Linked DNA regions of Arabidopsis thaliana. The protein of the gene in region 2 interacts with the protein of the main gene of each other region in a biochemical or structural test. Each region holds a gene or a part of one and is shown on either strand. Other genes may lie near its edges.

The links. Proteins that work in one complex are often made in the same cells at the same time.
Region 1: the proteins of TIP2;2 (region 2) and TSPO form a complex in vitro, tested with the Arabidopsis thaliana proteins (one study listed by BioGRID).

What each region holds. Positions count from the first base shown.
Region 1 is NC_003071.7:19,565,200-19,571,625, reverse strand, and holds TSPO (TSPO(outer membrane tryptophan-rich sensory protein)-like protein), read right to left. Parts: upstream 3,163-6,426; 5' UTR 2,926-3,162; coding exon 2,335-2,925; 3' UTR 2,119-2,334; downstream 1-2,118. Other genes in the region: AT2G47790 (Transducin/WD40 repeat-like superfamily protein), read left to right, coding at 1-69, 168-524; AT2G47780 (Rubber elongation factor protein (REF)), read right to left, coding at 762-1,145, 1,227-1,550; ALG3 (asparagine-linked glycosylation 3), read left to right, coding at 3,405-3,570, 3,670-3,704, 3,782-3,919, 4,026-4,094, 4,272-4,429, 4,498-4,564, 4,660-4,713, 4,903-4,991 and 5 more. UniProt on the Arabidopsis thaliana protein: Stress-induced membrane protein that can bind heme and may play a role in the transport of tetrapyrrole intermediates during salt stress and contribute to the detoxification of highly reactive porphyrins in the cytoplasm.
Region 2 is NC_003075.7:9,695,417-9,702,423, reverse strand, and holds TIP2;2 (tonoplast intrinsic protein 2;2), read right to left. Parts: upstream 3,485-7,007; 5' UTR 3,107-3,484; coding exon 2,729-3,106; intron 2,549-2,728; coding exon 2,174-2,548; 3' UTR 1,952-2,173; downstream 1-1,951. Other genes in the region: AT4G17350 (auxin canalization protein (DUF828)), read right to left, coding at 1-336, 543-842; G2484-1 protein, read left to right, coding at 5,252-6,845. UniProt on the Arabidopsis thaliana protein: Aquaporins facilitate the transport of water and small neutral solutes across cell membranes.

The DNA.
Region 1 (6,426 bases), on a different chromosome or scaffold from region 2:
GACGGAAGCTGTGAAGTCAACCTAGAGAAAGCTCGGGAACTCGCATCAGATAGTTGGACTCAAGATAATGTAACAATCTCATTCTTTCCCTTCTAGTAAAACATTAACACTAACCAGAAACCTAATGGTTACTTACAGAGTTGAACTTTCCCATTACTCTTTTGCAGGTTGATTATTTTGTTGATTGTCATTGTCCAGGAGGTGAAGATTTATGGGTGATCGGTGGAACGTGCGCAGGAACCGTTGGTTATTTTCCGGTGAACTACAAACAGCCTGGATCAATCGGTACCGCTGAAGCTATTCTTGGTGGAGGTCACATAGATGTAGTAAGGAGCGTTCTGCAGATGCCAGGCGAGTATGGAGGAGCTGCAGGGTTATTTGGATGGACTGGGGGTGAAGATGGGCGACTATGTTGCTGGAAGTCGGATGAGGATGCTACCGAGATTAACCGGTCTTGGACTTCAAGTGAGTTGGTTGTTAAGCCGCCAAGGAACCGCAAGAAAAACAGACACTCTCCTTACTAGTAAACAGATACTACTTTTTGGGTCTTGTGTCTTTTATAAAAGTTGAGACTGAAGAGGACAGTTTCCTTTATGTCTCTTGTTCTTGTTATTATTAAAAGGCAAAGTTGTTTAAATGAAATATTGAAGAAAGATTACATCTCTTGGGATAGCAAATTGCAGAAAGGAAAGAAAAACAGAGTACATACAGTATATATACTCTATAGAAGAAGGAATCTTTGGCTTCAGAAGAGTAAATAGTCAATCAGCTCGACACTGATCTTGTTCCAAAATATCAGAGATCTTCTCAATAGGAATCATGGGTAGATACTCTGCCCCAAAGTAGTCTCTGTCGCCAACGTAACGAACCGCATCGTTGTACTTCTCTGACCAGTAAAACGCCGTGGGGATCACTAAATGCGCAACTTCAGGGAACAACGGCAGTTGATTCAGTAAACGCCACAGCGTCGCTGCGTAATACTCTGCCGCTGGCTCGTACTTGTCCCGGACGCTTCTTGCAATGCTCTTGGTAGTGTCCACAACGCCGGTGCGCTGCACCTCCGTGGCCACCGTGAGCGCTTGGCTAGAAGCTTGCTTCACCAATGACGGAACATATGTCTCAACATCGAAGAACACATCGTCCACCTGAAAACCAAGCAAATCATTTGCCTCTCACTCATGAAACCGAAGCGATATTCAAGTTAAGAATTACATTCTGATTGTTACCTTACGATCGACGAAAAGGAGAAGCTTGAAAGGAACGTCGTGGAATTTTTCGTATAATGGAGCAAGCACGGTTCGAACGCAATCTTCAATGTTCTCGACGCCGAGTTTGAGTGGACCAGCGTTGTCTTTAGCCAACTCGTAGAGGGTCGAGAAACAGGCGGCGAAGTAAACCGCCGCGACTTGAATGAATTCCAAGTGCTTGAGCTTCATCTCATCGTCGTCTTCCACCACTAACGAAGGCGAAGACGAAGAAGATGGTGGAACTGGAGTAATCTCCTGTGGCTGTGATTGCTCTTCTTCGACTACTATTTCATCTTCAGCCATTGTCAAAGACTTGGTGCCGTTGCAGACAAACGAACCGCTCTCTCTCTCTTTAAAAAGACTTATATCACACCGGACGGCTCAGATTTGAAACTGGTGAGCCACGTGGCATGTTGCTGCCATGCTCCATTTTAGTTTTAATTTAAGCGAAAGGGATTGGATTGTGAGAGACGAGTGACCTCTAGGACAGCTGTCCTATTGACAGATGTCTTACTCTTAATGGACCGTTTTCAACACGTGTCGAGGTATGGGTCGAGACTGTTGCACGAAAGCCACGGCCACTCCGTCGGCACGAGTCTCGAGGGTAAATCAAAAAAGCACAAGGACCTCTCGTTCGCTATCATTCATCCACTTTTTGTATATTCCCTCCAAACCTTACATGATATCATCACGTGTTAAAATGGATTGGGCCCTAATCCTCGAGTTCCTATATTAATTTTAGGTTTACCACTGACTGAGAAGCCCACAAAACAGTGTCAACGGCCCAACCCAAAACTGATCAAAGTATAGTTGGCTTTACCGTTTGAATTTGTTCCGTTTCGGCGACATAAAAGTAAAACGATCGCCTTTTAAGAATCTCACAGTTTGATTTCAGACCAACGCTTAAAACTTCTACAATATCACATTATTTCTCAAGTATATCATGTTCATGTCTATTACTCCACAATGACCAGACCATTGGATCGCAAAGACATCTTTTATGGTATATATCACAAAAAACAAAAACAACAAGAAACACTCATATGACTCAGACTCTACAAACATCATCGTATAGCGTTTACAGATCTCACGCGACTGCAAGCTTTACATTAACAGCGGCTACAAAGGCAGCCCAAGCCAAACACGGCTTTACCAGATTACCAGCGACCGGACTTATCTCATTAAAGGCCTTGTAGCATCCGAATAACGCAGCCGATTGACCCAACCACACCGCAAGCCCCGCTACTCCCGACCCGACGCGGAACGTAACCGGATCCCAAACCAAACAGAGCAAAAACTGAGCTAAGTAAAGATACAGAGCATTGGGCTTCTTGTGGAAGCCACCGTCAACCCATACAAGCCACGCAGCCAAACCCATCAGACCACTAGAAGCGAGACACGTTGTGTGTAGGAGCCACAGAGGTGGGATCCACGACGAGGACTTAGCTCGATTCCCGTATCCGTCGCTTGTGCCGAGGAAATACGTAGCGAAGAGCGTCACGAGCACAGGAGCCGCAACCGCTACCGTCAGAGACTTGAGACCACGTTTCGCCATCGCCCTCTTTTGATCGCGTTTTCCTTTGTTGTCGTCAGCGCTTTTCCTCTCTGTCTCGGCCATAGCCGTCGTTGCAGCGTCTCTGTCGTCTCCGCCGCGGTATCTGATGTCCTGAGAATCCATTACAAACGTCCAAAACAGAATCGAAGGAACAAGATTACTGAGATTTGAGATGTTGGATAGATGGAGAAGAAGCAGCTTGGTCAAAAGAGAGTATAATCAGGAGATGATATTAATAGACAAGAAGAAGAAGCAAAAAGGCCAAGGCTCTTGTACACGTGGCGAGTGATATGTACACGTCGAATGCTAATTAATTGTTTTTTGTTTTTAGATAACTTTGTGAAAAAGTGTGGACACGTGCTTACTCTATATGCTCATGTCTGATGCATACACACAGTTTTGGGACGATTGCGATGCTTATTTATTTATCGCTTAATACTTTTGCATTATTAAAAAATAAAACAACAATTGGGCTCTACACCGACTAAGACAAGAAGCCCAATAGGCTCATTTAATTTGGGCTAATTAGAAGAGTAGTAATATGGAAGTAGTTGTCTGTTACGCGGCGTTGGCTAGACGCTGATGCGATTTGCTCTGTTTTCATGGCGGGCGCCTCATCACCGGCGAGTTTGAGAGCTTCTCGTAGCCGTCGGCTGGGGAAGGAGACGAATCGATCCGATCTATTCAAAAAACCTGCAGTTCCATTCGCATTCGCGCTAATTCTTGCTGATGCAATCCTAGTCGCACTTATTATCGCCTATGTTCCATGTGAGAGCTATTTACCTCCTTTTTTTTTTTGCTTGCGTATCCCTCGAAATGTGCATTTGCATAGGTTTTAAACCAAATTTCGTCATTTGCCTTTAACAGACACGAAGATCGATTGGGATGCTTACATGTCACAGGTAAGTGTCAATGGTCAACTGTGGTTTCTTCAAAGTAAACTAGTAGTCTTTAAGTGAAATTTATCTAATTGGGGCAGGTTAGTGGGTTTCTCGGGGGAGAGAGAGACTATGGGAACTTGAAAGGCGATACAGGGCCATTGGTTTATCCAGCAGGTTTCCTCTATGTTTACTCTGCAGTGCAGAACTTAACTGGAGGGGAAGTCTACCCTGCTCAGGTGCTTGCAATTCCCTCTCTTTGAATCTCCTATCTTTGGATTAGCTGCGGAATTTGATCCATCCATCGCTTCATTTGTCTCAATTCTACTCTCTTACATTTTGCAGATTCTTTTTGGTGTTCTCTACATTGTCAATCTGGGGATCGTCTTGATCATCTACGTGAAGACTGATGTGGTATAAATGAAGACTTATTTCTTATCTCTTTTCATCAAGTATTTGTAGACGTTGTCAAGCGTTGTCCATTTACGATGTTAATGAACAATATTTTGGTTTTGATTTGTCTGTTTATGATGGGAGTGATTTTAGTGAATTCAGTGATGATATCTCTTCTTGTATCCTTACGTATTTCAGGTGCCATGGTGGGCATTAAGTCTACTATGTTTATCCAAGAGGATACATTCAATCTTTGTTCTCCGTCTCTTTAATGATTGTTTTGCCATGACTCTCCTACATGCATCAATGGCTCTCTTTCTCTATCGTAAATGGCATCTAGGGATGCTTGTTTTCAGGTTAGATTGCTGCTTTTGCTTCTCGATTCTTTAGATTGACTAGTCTGCTTACCCTTCTTTTTATACAGTGGAGCTGTTTCTGTAAAGATGAATGTACTTTTGTATGCTCCAACTTTGTTACTTCTGCTACTTAAGGTATATATGTTCGTGGAAGAGAATTAGTTTATGGATTTGCTTTATTATTCTTCTAGCATTGTTTTTCTTCATATGTGAAGTTTTACTATTCACAGGCCATGAATATCATTGGAGTGGTGTCTGCTTTGGCTGGTGCAGCTCTTGTTCAGGTTTCACTATATCTCTTATAAGCCTTCTTATTCACCAATTTGTATGCGTAGCATTGTTTCTCCAAGACAATTTGGAAACTTGTTAACTGTAGTTTCTTCAATGTAAATAGGTGAGTTGCATTATCCAGCGAATTATAGTTTTGATTATGCAAGAAGTACCATTCAGCTGGTCAATGAATGGTTATACAGATACTCGTGGGACTGCCGTTTCTGATAACATATCCGGTTTCATACATAGCAAACGCCTTTGATCTTGGACGTGTTTTCATTCATTTCTGGTATTGTTCGCTTCTCTCCCGCCAAATCTAAAAAACATGTTGATGGGATCTAAAAATGTCTTTTGACCTCTAACTCTAGTTTGAGCTCTCAACAGGTCTGTTAACTTCAAATTTGTTCCAGAACGAGTTTTTGTGTCCAAAGAATTTGCAGTATGCTTGCTCATTGCTCACCTTTTTCTCCTTGTGGCGTTCGCAAATTATAAGTGGTGCAAGTACGTACAATCATAAGGCAGCTGCAATTTGAAAGCAGTTGCAGTTTGTGTGTTTAGCATTAGTTGTAATTAATATGTTGATTTTATAGGCATGAAGGCGGGATTATAGGCTTCATGCGTTCTAGGCATTTCTTCTTGACACTTCCGTCTTCACTCTCGTTCAGTGATGTATCAGCCTCACGGATTATTACGAAAGAACGTAAGCTCTTACTGTTATTTTAGCTTATGTTTCCCTATGTCCATACTTACAGGCATTCCACTTGATTCGCAGATGTCGTCACGGCCATGTTTGTTGGGAATTTCATCGGCATTGTATTTGCTCGCTCTCTGCACTACCAGTTCTACTCATGGTAACCAAATAACCTGGCTAAATCTTACGTTTCTCGAACATTCTTAGCCTCAACCCCAATACTCATATGATCATAACAGGTACTTCTATTCGCTACCTTATCTACTATGGAGAACACCGTTTCCCACTTGGCTGCGGTAAGTTATTTCTGCATTTCTTACTGTAACAACAGTTAAAATATCAAAACCTAACTCGTCTTCTTGTTTTTCTTTTGGCTGTAAAAGCTTGATCATGTTCCTCGGCATTGAGCTCTGTTGGAATGTTTATCCATCAACACCGTCCTCCTCGGGTTTGCTATTGTGTCTACACTTGATCATTCTGGTGGGTCTCTGGTTAGCTCCTTCAGTCGATCCTTATCAGCTCAAAGAACACCCTAAATCCCAAATACACAAAAAAGCATAACTGAACCTTTTGATGCTCTTTTTTTTCTTCTTGTTTCCAAGACTTAGAGATAAGCTAAAGAAAGTAACGGTTAACTTAACTATATGTGTTTTGTAAACATGGTGATTTATAATAAAAAAATTTGTAATTTGGCGGCAATTACATGTGTTAATGATTTTGGTCATTAAATTCTAACAATTATTTTAGTACGAAATGCTTTAGAATTAGACACAAGGTATTTGTTTTTCAACGGCATTGGGAATCTTCCTGTACTAAAAGAAAGAGAAGAAACTAAAAAATGAGAATTTTAAATTTCGTAGTTTATAGTCGTAATGCTATTAAACTGGGTTCTTAGCTTTTCCTTGATTTGACTTGGTGTAGAATATGTGCCTCTTGCGTAATAATCTGTCCTTGCAAGTGCAAAATCTTCCTCAGCAAATATGCTAACTTGTGTATTAGACTTTTCACTGTTGTTGTCTTATTGTGTTGAATC
Region 2 (7,007 bases):
AGATCTAACCGTGGAAGTAACACGTGCATGGTCAGCACCGGCTCGCTCAGCCATCTCAACACAGTGTGAGGCCAACAGTTCAGTGGCTGAGGCTAAAGCCAGTGCCATCTTGGAGCCTGACCCTTTGCAATTGCTAGCAGATGTCACAGAGGCTAAACCTGCAGCCAGAGCCGCTATAGAGACGGCAGAATGCACGTGGGCGTTCTCCACACGCACTTTATCTTTCTTCTTGAGATTGGTAGTAGTACTGCTGGTGCTGTGTTCCTTGTTGTGGTGAAACCATTTAGACAATGTCCCTGCTCTACGTGTGCCAACAGAGTTCATGATCTTCCCAGCCTAGAATCAAAATCCCAAAGTTGTAAAATATGAAAAGAGTCCACTATTATTATCCATTCCAATTCCCAAGAACTATGTTAGGAACTGGTGCAATGGCAATCATATACAATTGAAAAGTCTCTGACTTTTAAGGCTCATCATAATTCTAAGAAATAGTTGGAAAAAGGGTTTCATTGGAATTTGGAAAAGGGATAAAAGGATCGTACCACGAGTGGATCTGCAGCAGCATCAGGGAACAAAACAGGAGGACTGTTCTGGCCAACACAAAACTGATCTTGTTGTTGTCTATGTTTGAGAGCAAGTGCTTTGGAGATTTCAGAAGTAGAGAGACTCCAGGATCTAGACAGAAACTCCATTGGCTCTTTAGGTGTCTGAGGTTGAGGAATCGATGAGAAAAGCTCTTCAGCTCTAAGAACTCCATCTTCCAACTCTTCCTCCATATTCTCTGATCCAAAGAACGAAGAAGAAGAAGTATCTTTCCAATCTGAATAAAAGCCACTTTCCATTTTCTCTCCTAAACGAATCTTCCGATGGAAAATGAAGTTTTCTTGAATATGGAAAGATGACGTGTGATCAGAAGATGGTATTTATTGTCCTGGTGGAACAAGAGTTATGTTCTGAACAAAACCATGTGATCAAAACAGAGAACCAGCTCTGAGTTTCAGAATTAAAACTTGAAAAAAATGAACTGTAAAACTGAGAAAAAGAAAAATATAAAGAAAATGATTTTAAAAGGAAAAAGCTTTTGAAGATGAAAAGGATGATGTTGACTCAGGTGGAAGAGAAGAGGAAGAGCATAAACCTAACTTATACAATAAGAGAATCTTTTTTCTTCTTTTTCTATGAGAAAAGAGAATTATTCAAACCACGAGTCCCAAAAGTACGTGCAGACTAATCAATAATATAGATTACAATAAAAATCTGGATAAGTGTTTAATTTACCGTAAGAGTCTTGCAAATTTTAAGAACTCGTCTCCATGTTCTTTATATAGGTGTGGAGAAAGAGAGGATAATGTTATGGTTAAGAACAATGTCCATGAATTCAGGTAATATCTTAATCTGGTGGGACGGTTTGTGAAACCACAAAGAGACGACAAAGGCATTGGTTTAAGAGCATTTTGTCTTTTGAGCGGACGGCTCTCACACGATTCATTCCCCCACAACCGACCAGCTTCCTTCAAATAATAAACCATACGTAAAGAGACCATTTCGTTTTTCTATTAATGTACTCTGTCGTTTCATCGTTTGGTTTGGTTTCACGGGATAACGAATTTTTAAAATGTCTTTCTAGCATTACTATTTGTATCACTTAAGTTGAGTACTCTTAAACGGTTGTTTAAACAATAGTAGTGTCTCCAGCCAATAAGACCAATTTGTGTATTAGCTTGAGTTTATGAATTTTAATTGGATTCTAATGGGCCCTTTTCAGTATTAGGCCTTGGATAAGGAAATATTGGCCTTTCCACAAAACAAAAAATTGAGCAATTTGGGATATCTTGAATCTATGGATTTTTTTGTCAACCTTTCAAGCATATATTTGAAAGATTCCCCAAAACATATTTTCTTATATACATGTGTGATGTGATTTTAATATCAAAAGGTTGGAAGTGTTTAATTGGACAGTTAAAACCGGTTATTTTTAGCCATTAACACATGCAAGAAAGTACAAGGCAGAGATATAAAATTTGAAAATATACAATTCTTATTTATAACCAACACAAAGTACAACTTTGATCTTTTTCTCCACATTCAATCATTCATTTTTGGAAGAAACGAGGACCAAACATTTTCATACAACAAAAAGCAAGCCAAGCAAATTAAAACGCTATAGGATTGATCAAGGGTAGCTTTCTGTGGTGGGAGCTGGAGCGTAGGATCCGATGAAGACGTCTCCGTAGATGAGTCCAGCAAGTGCACCACCGACTAGTGGACCCACCCAGTAGATCCATATCTGAGAGAAGTCACCACTGACAACAGCTGGTCCAAATGACCTGGCCGGGTTCATGGAACCACCGCTAAAGGGACCCGCTGCGAGGATGTTGGCACCAACGATGAAACCGATAGCAATTGGAGCAATGGTCCCGAGTGAACCTTTCTTTGGATCAGCCGCTGTGGCGTAGACTGTGTAGACCAGAGCAAAGGTCACCACAATCTCCATCACTACTCCTTCAATAGCTCCTAAACCGGCCGCTACTCCATGAGTCGGTACGCTCTGCATAACCGGGAAATAAACACATTCTCGGTTAATCCATATACCTTTTAAAATCAAACTGGATCTTAAGACCGGCATAACATTTTTTAGTCACGGTCGTTTGGACAAAACAGTCATAATCAGAAATAACACATGACTTAAATAAATAGTATTGAATAAATTACGAATGTTTTTGTGTACCTCGCCATTGGTAACGAAGACGAGGAGGAGACACGCGACGATGGAGCCAAGGCATTGAGCAATCCAGTAAAAGAAACCGGTTATTACTGTGATGTTGCCACCGACGGCGAGACCGAGTGTCACGGCGGGGTTAAGGTGTCCGCCGGAGATGTTGGCGGCTATGGAAACACCAACGAAAAGGGCAAAGGCGTGAGCCACAGCGACAGCGACAAGACCAGCGGGGTCCAAGGCTGCATCGGATGTGAGCTTGGCAAAAGCAAGAGCAGAGCCAACGCCAGCAAACACAAAGAGAAGAGTTGCGATAAATTCAGACAAGTAAGCCTTAAGAGATGCTACACTAAAGGAGTCACCCACACTTCCTATCTCAATCTTCACCATTTTGATCCGACAAAATAACTCTGTTTTTCGACTTTGGTTGATTACAAGTTATTTCTATTTGTGTGGTTTTGGGCATACTAATGCTTGACTTTATATATAGCAAAGAGCCAAACGAGGTAATGAAGTTGTTGGTCCCACTCTACGTGGCCTGTCACAATTGGATGCCGCCCAAACCGCCAATTATTTAGACTATTCATTTTCTTTTGAATTTTGAGGGTTAGTGACATCGAAGATGATTAAAGACAACCAATTGGTATAATGCTATGAAAATGATGGATAAGGTATTTCATAATATGTGAAGATAAGAGTGTTCTGTTGTCATGTTAATATCCTGCATTTAAACTAATGTTGTCTCACACCAATTATGATAGATGGTCGTATTCTTTTATATCTATATATATTTTTTTTGGTTACAATTTGTATTTTTTAGTTTGGGAGGTGCTAAACGCCTAAAATATTAATAGGGATTAGGAGTTAATTCATGTACCACCGCTGCTTTGTTTGGAGTTGGTGTGTAAGAGATATTGGCATATACATGTAATAAAATTGCAACAAACAGAAAACTTAAGATCTTAGAAAAGTGATCCAAAGTAGTGGTGACATTAAATAAAAATTTGCAGAGAGGATGGTTGTTTATAATACTTTCTCCGCCCCATGAATTTTAAAAGTAATATTTTTAGTATATGGTTTATGGATAGTTTTTTATTATCATGAATTTAATTTGCAGTATAGAACAACGAAGTGGAATGCTCAATCCTAGATTAAACCGATCCCTGACAAATGTTTTTCCACCCACTACCGCTTAAAAGTTGAAAATTATTCCATCCCAGTAAACTGATATTATGAACCAAACGTCCAAACTCAAATAATCGATCTGAAAATGAACTATATTTTTTTTAAAATTATGAATTCATTTTTCCTATTCAAAATATTGAATTCGAATCCAAACTAAACAAACAGAAAGAAAAACCTGATTTTAAATCCAATTTTGTTTTCAAGTTAAATAAACATTTGATTAAAACTTGAAGTCGAACCAATACCAATACGAAACCGTACCAAACCATCTATGGTACAAATACTATCATTCATAAACCAAAATACCAAAAAAACCTAACAGAAAAAAATTATAAAGTGGGCCTAAGCCCATATAAATATCCCAATGGATTCCTTTTGATCTGATGGTCCAAAAGTCCAATCCGTCAATTGCCTAACACACAAAAGCCTCTATCTATTAGTTAGTGAGTGACATGTCTCTTCTCTAATTTTATCCTTAAGACACTTTCCATTTTGTTTAGCCAACCAATCATCTTCATTACACTAATCAGTAGTCAATAGTCATTTCAACAATAAATCTTCTAACTTTTACCACAGTCACGTCAAACAAAAGTTGTTTTCTTTTACCTCTTGGTCATTTAATTTTCTTTTAACGGAACTCTAGCCAGTAAATTACACTAAATTTTAACGTACGTTAATTTAAAAGTAAAAAACCTTTCGCGTCTTTTTGTTTAAGTTCAATATTAGCCACACGATCCAGAAAATTCGACACGTGTCACTATGGATTAAGCGGCATCAGTATCCATCTTTATTTTCTCTCCAAATATTTATTTAATTTTGGGCTTTACTTAAACCAGACTCATTTCATTTGCCGAGGAAAGCGAATATAATTTATCGGGCATTTCTCTCCCAATCTGCTTCACTCGCCAAACCTCGTTTCTTCGCCGGAACCCTAGGTCACCTCCGTCAGTTTGAATTTTCCGGTGAGTTTAACTTCTTCGCTAGCGTTTCAATTTATCATTTTAAGAAAGTTCACTCTTTTAGGTTTTCGTGTGCCCTTGAATTTTGAGAAGGAAGAGATTTTATAATTGACGCGTATGGTTTTGTTGTTGGTGGAGCAGTAGTAGATGAACGTGCGATTAGGTAACAGTTGAGGTCTGACGGCCAGGTTTTCTTGTCACCGAATGGAGGGAGGTAGCGTCTCCATACACTCTTGTGTCGGTACTTTTCGCTTTCCTACTGTTTTACTCCACTCGACAAGAAAATGACCAGAGTCGCTTCTTTAAATATGTTTCACGGTTGTTGTGTTATGCTTTTGTTTCTTTTGGTTGTTTGATGTTTATATATGTCTCTGATTTCAGGAATAAACTCATGGATTATGATGACAGTGACTTTCAAAACCAGAATCTCCATTTAGCTGGTGAAGCCAACAACAAATTTCCACCAGTTTTACAGCCTTATGCTCTTCCAAAGTTTGATTTTGATGATACACTCAACACGCATCTGAGGTTTGATAGTTTAGGTGAATCTGAAGCTTTTCTTGGTATTGAGGGTAACGAAGATAATAACTGGATTGAGGATTTCTCTCGTGGAAGTAGTGGTATAGTGTTTAGTTCAGGTGCAACGGAGTCCTGTGCCATTTCTAGGCACAATAATGTTTGGTCTGAGGCTACTTCGTCGGAATCTGTTGCAATGCTTTTGAATTCAGTTGGACAGGACGAAGTTATTGTAAGAGAGGATACTATCAAGAAATCTGACACTTCTCATGAACTAGGCTGCACAATGGAAACAGTAGAGCCTGGTCAGACATCCCATGAAAGAAGTCTTTCCAAAGAGGAAACGGTGAACTTACAACCCAACCCCTCTGTGGATGATACTCCAGGAGAGTCCTCTGTGGTAAAGACAGATGATGGACAGGAGCAGGTTCTGGTTAAAGATGACTCACCAACGGCTGTAGAAGAGGCATCTGTGGAGGAAAAGAATTCCATCTTGACTTCTAATACCGCGACGGTAGAGGCTATAGATACTACTGATCTTGGTAAAATAGGAACTGAGACGACGGATAATCTTCTTGACCAAACAGAAGAGAAAGCCAATGTAGAATCAAGGATGGAAGATGATTGTAGCGATGGGAATGTACAGACTATTATTACTTGTAGCGGTGAGTTGAATAATCAGAGCACTTTACTTCCAGAGACTTCCAATGATGAAAATGTTATCAGCGACCACATTCAAAGTAGTTATAACCGCAATGATCTAACTGCAGATGCACGGTCAATTTTGGTTGAAGGTCATTCTGATAGCCATATAGACTCAGCTTCCGAAGTTGAAAAAGTGGAAGCTGAAAATATTGGCAAAACTGCAAAGCCTGATTTGAAGGAGATAGAGCTATCTGATGTCACAGTACTAGAAAGAGGGGACCAAGCTCCCTCTACTCTTGAGGTAGGTGGACAAGATGTTTCTGGGACCGAATGCCAAGATCTCCTTGTCAGCACTGTTCATACTAGCGTAGCTGTTGAAGCGTCTTTGGAACTTGCTGGGGAATTGACAACTATAACAAACAGTGTTTCCATTGAGAAGCCCGAGTTGCTTAGTCATCAACATATGGAAGTTATTACAAGTGAACATGAGTCTACTTTTCAGATAGAGACTGAGACATATCCGCAGATACACGTATTTGAAACTTCAGAGAGTGTTTATATTTCAACGATGGACTCAATGGTTGAAGCTAGAGAAGGTGGTGTGTCTAAGAAGAGTGACAATGAAGGTAGTGCTCGCACTTCTAATCTCGAGCAAAGCATGGAACTGCCTGTCAATGCCAATGATAGAGATCAAGATGTCAAGAACTCTCAGATCCTATCTGAAAGCGTTGTGTCTGGTTCTGTTGGCTATGTTTCAGGAGGCTCTACTTCAGAGTTGGCGGAGTCAGAATCTCAATCTGACAGCATTCCAACAGACAAGTCAGGTAAACATATTTTCTAATCCTTTTAATATACTCTATTTTCATACTGTGTACTTTTACGTTTTGCCTTCTCGTTCTCTAAGTAGCCCTTGTTCAGCTTTTTTTTTTGCTTCTGTCGGGGTCACCTTTCCACTGTAAATGTATATATCATGATTACTTCAAGTA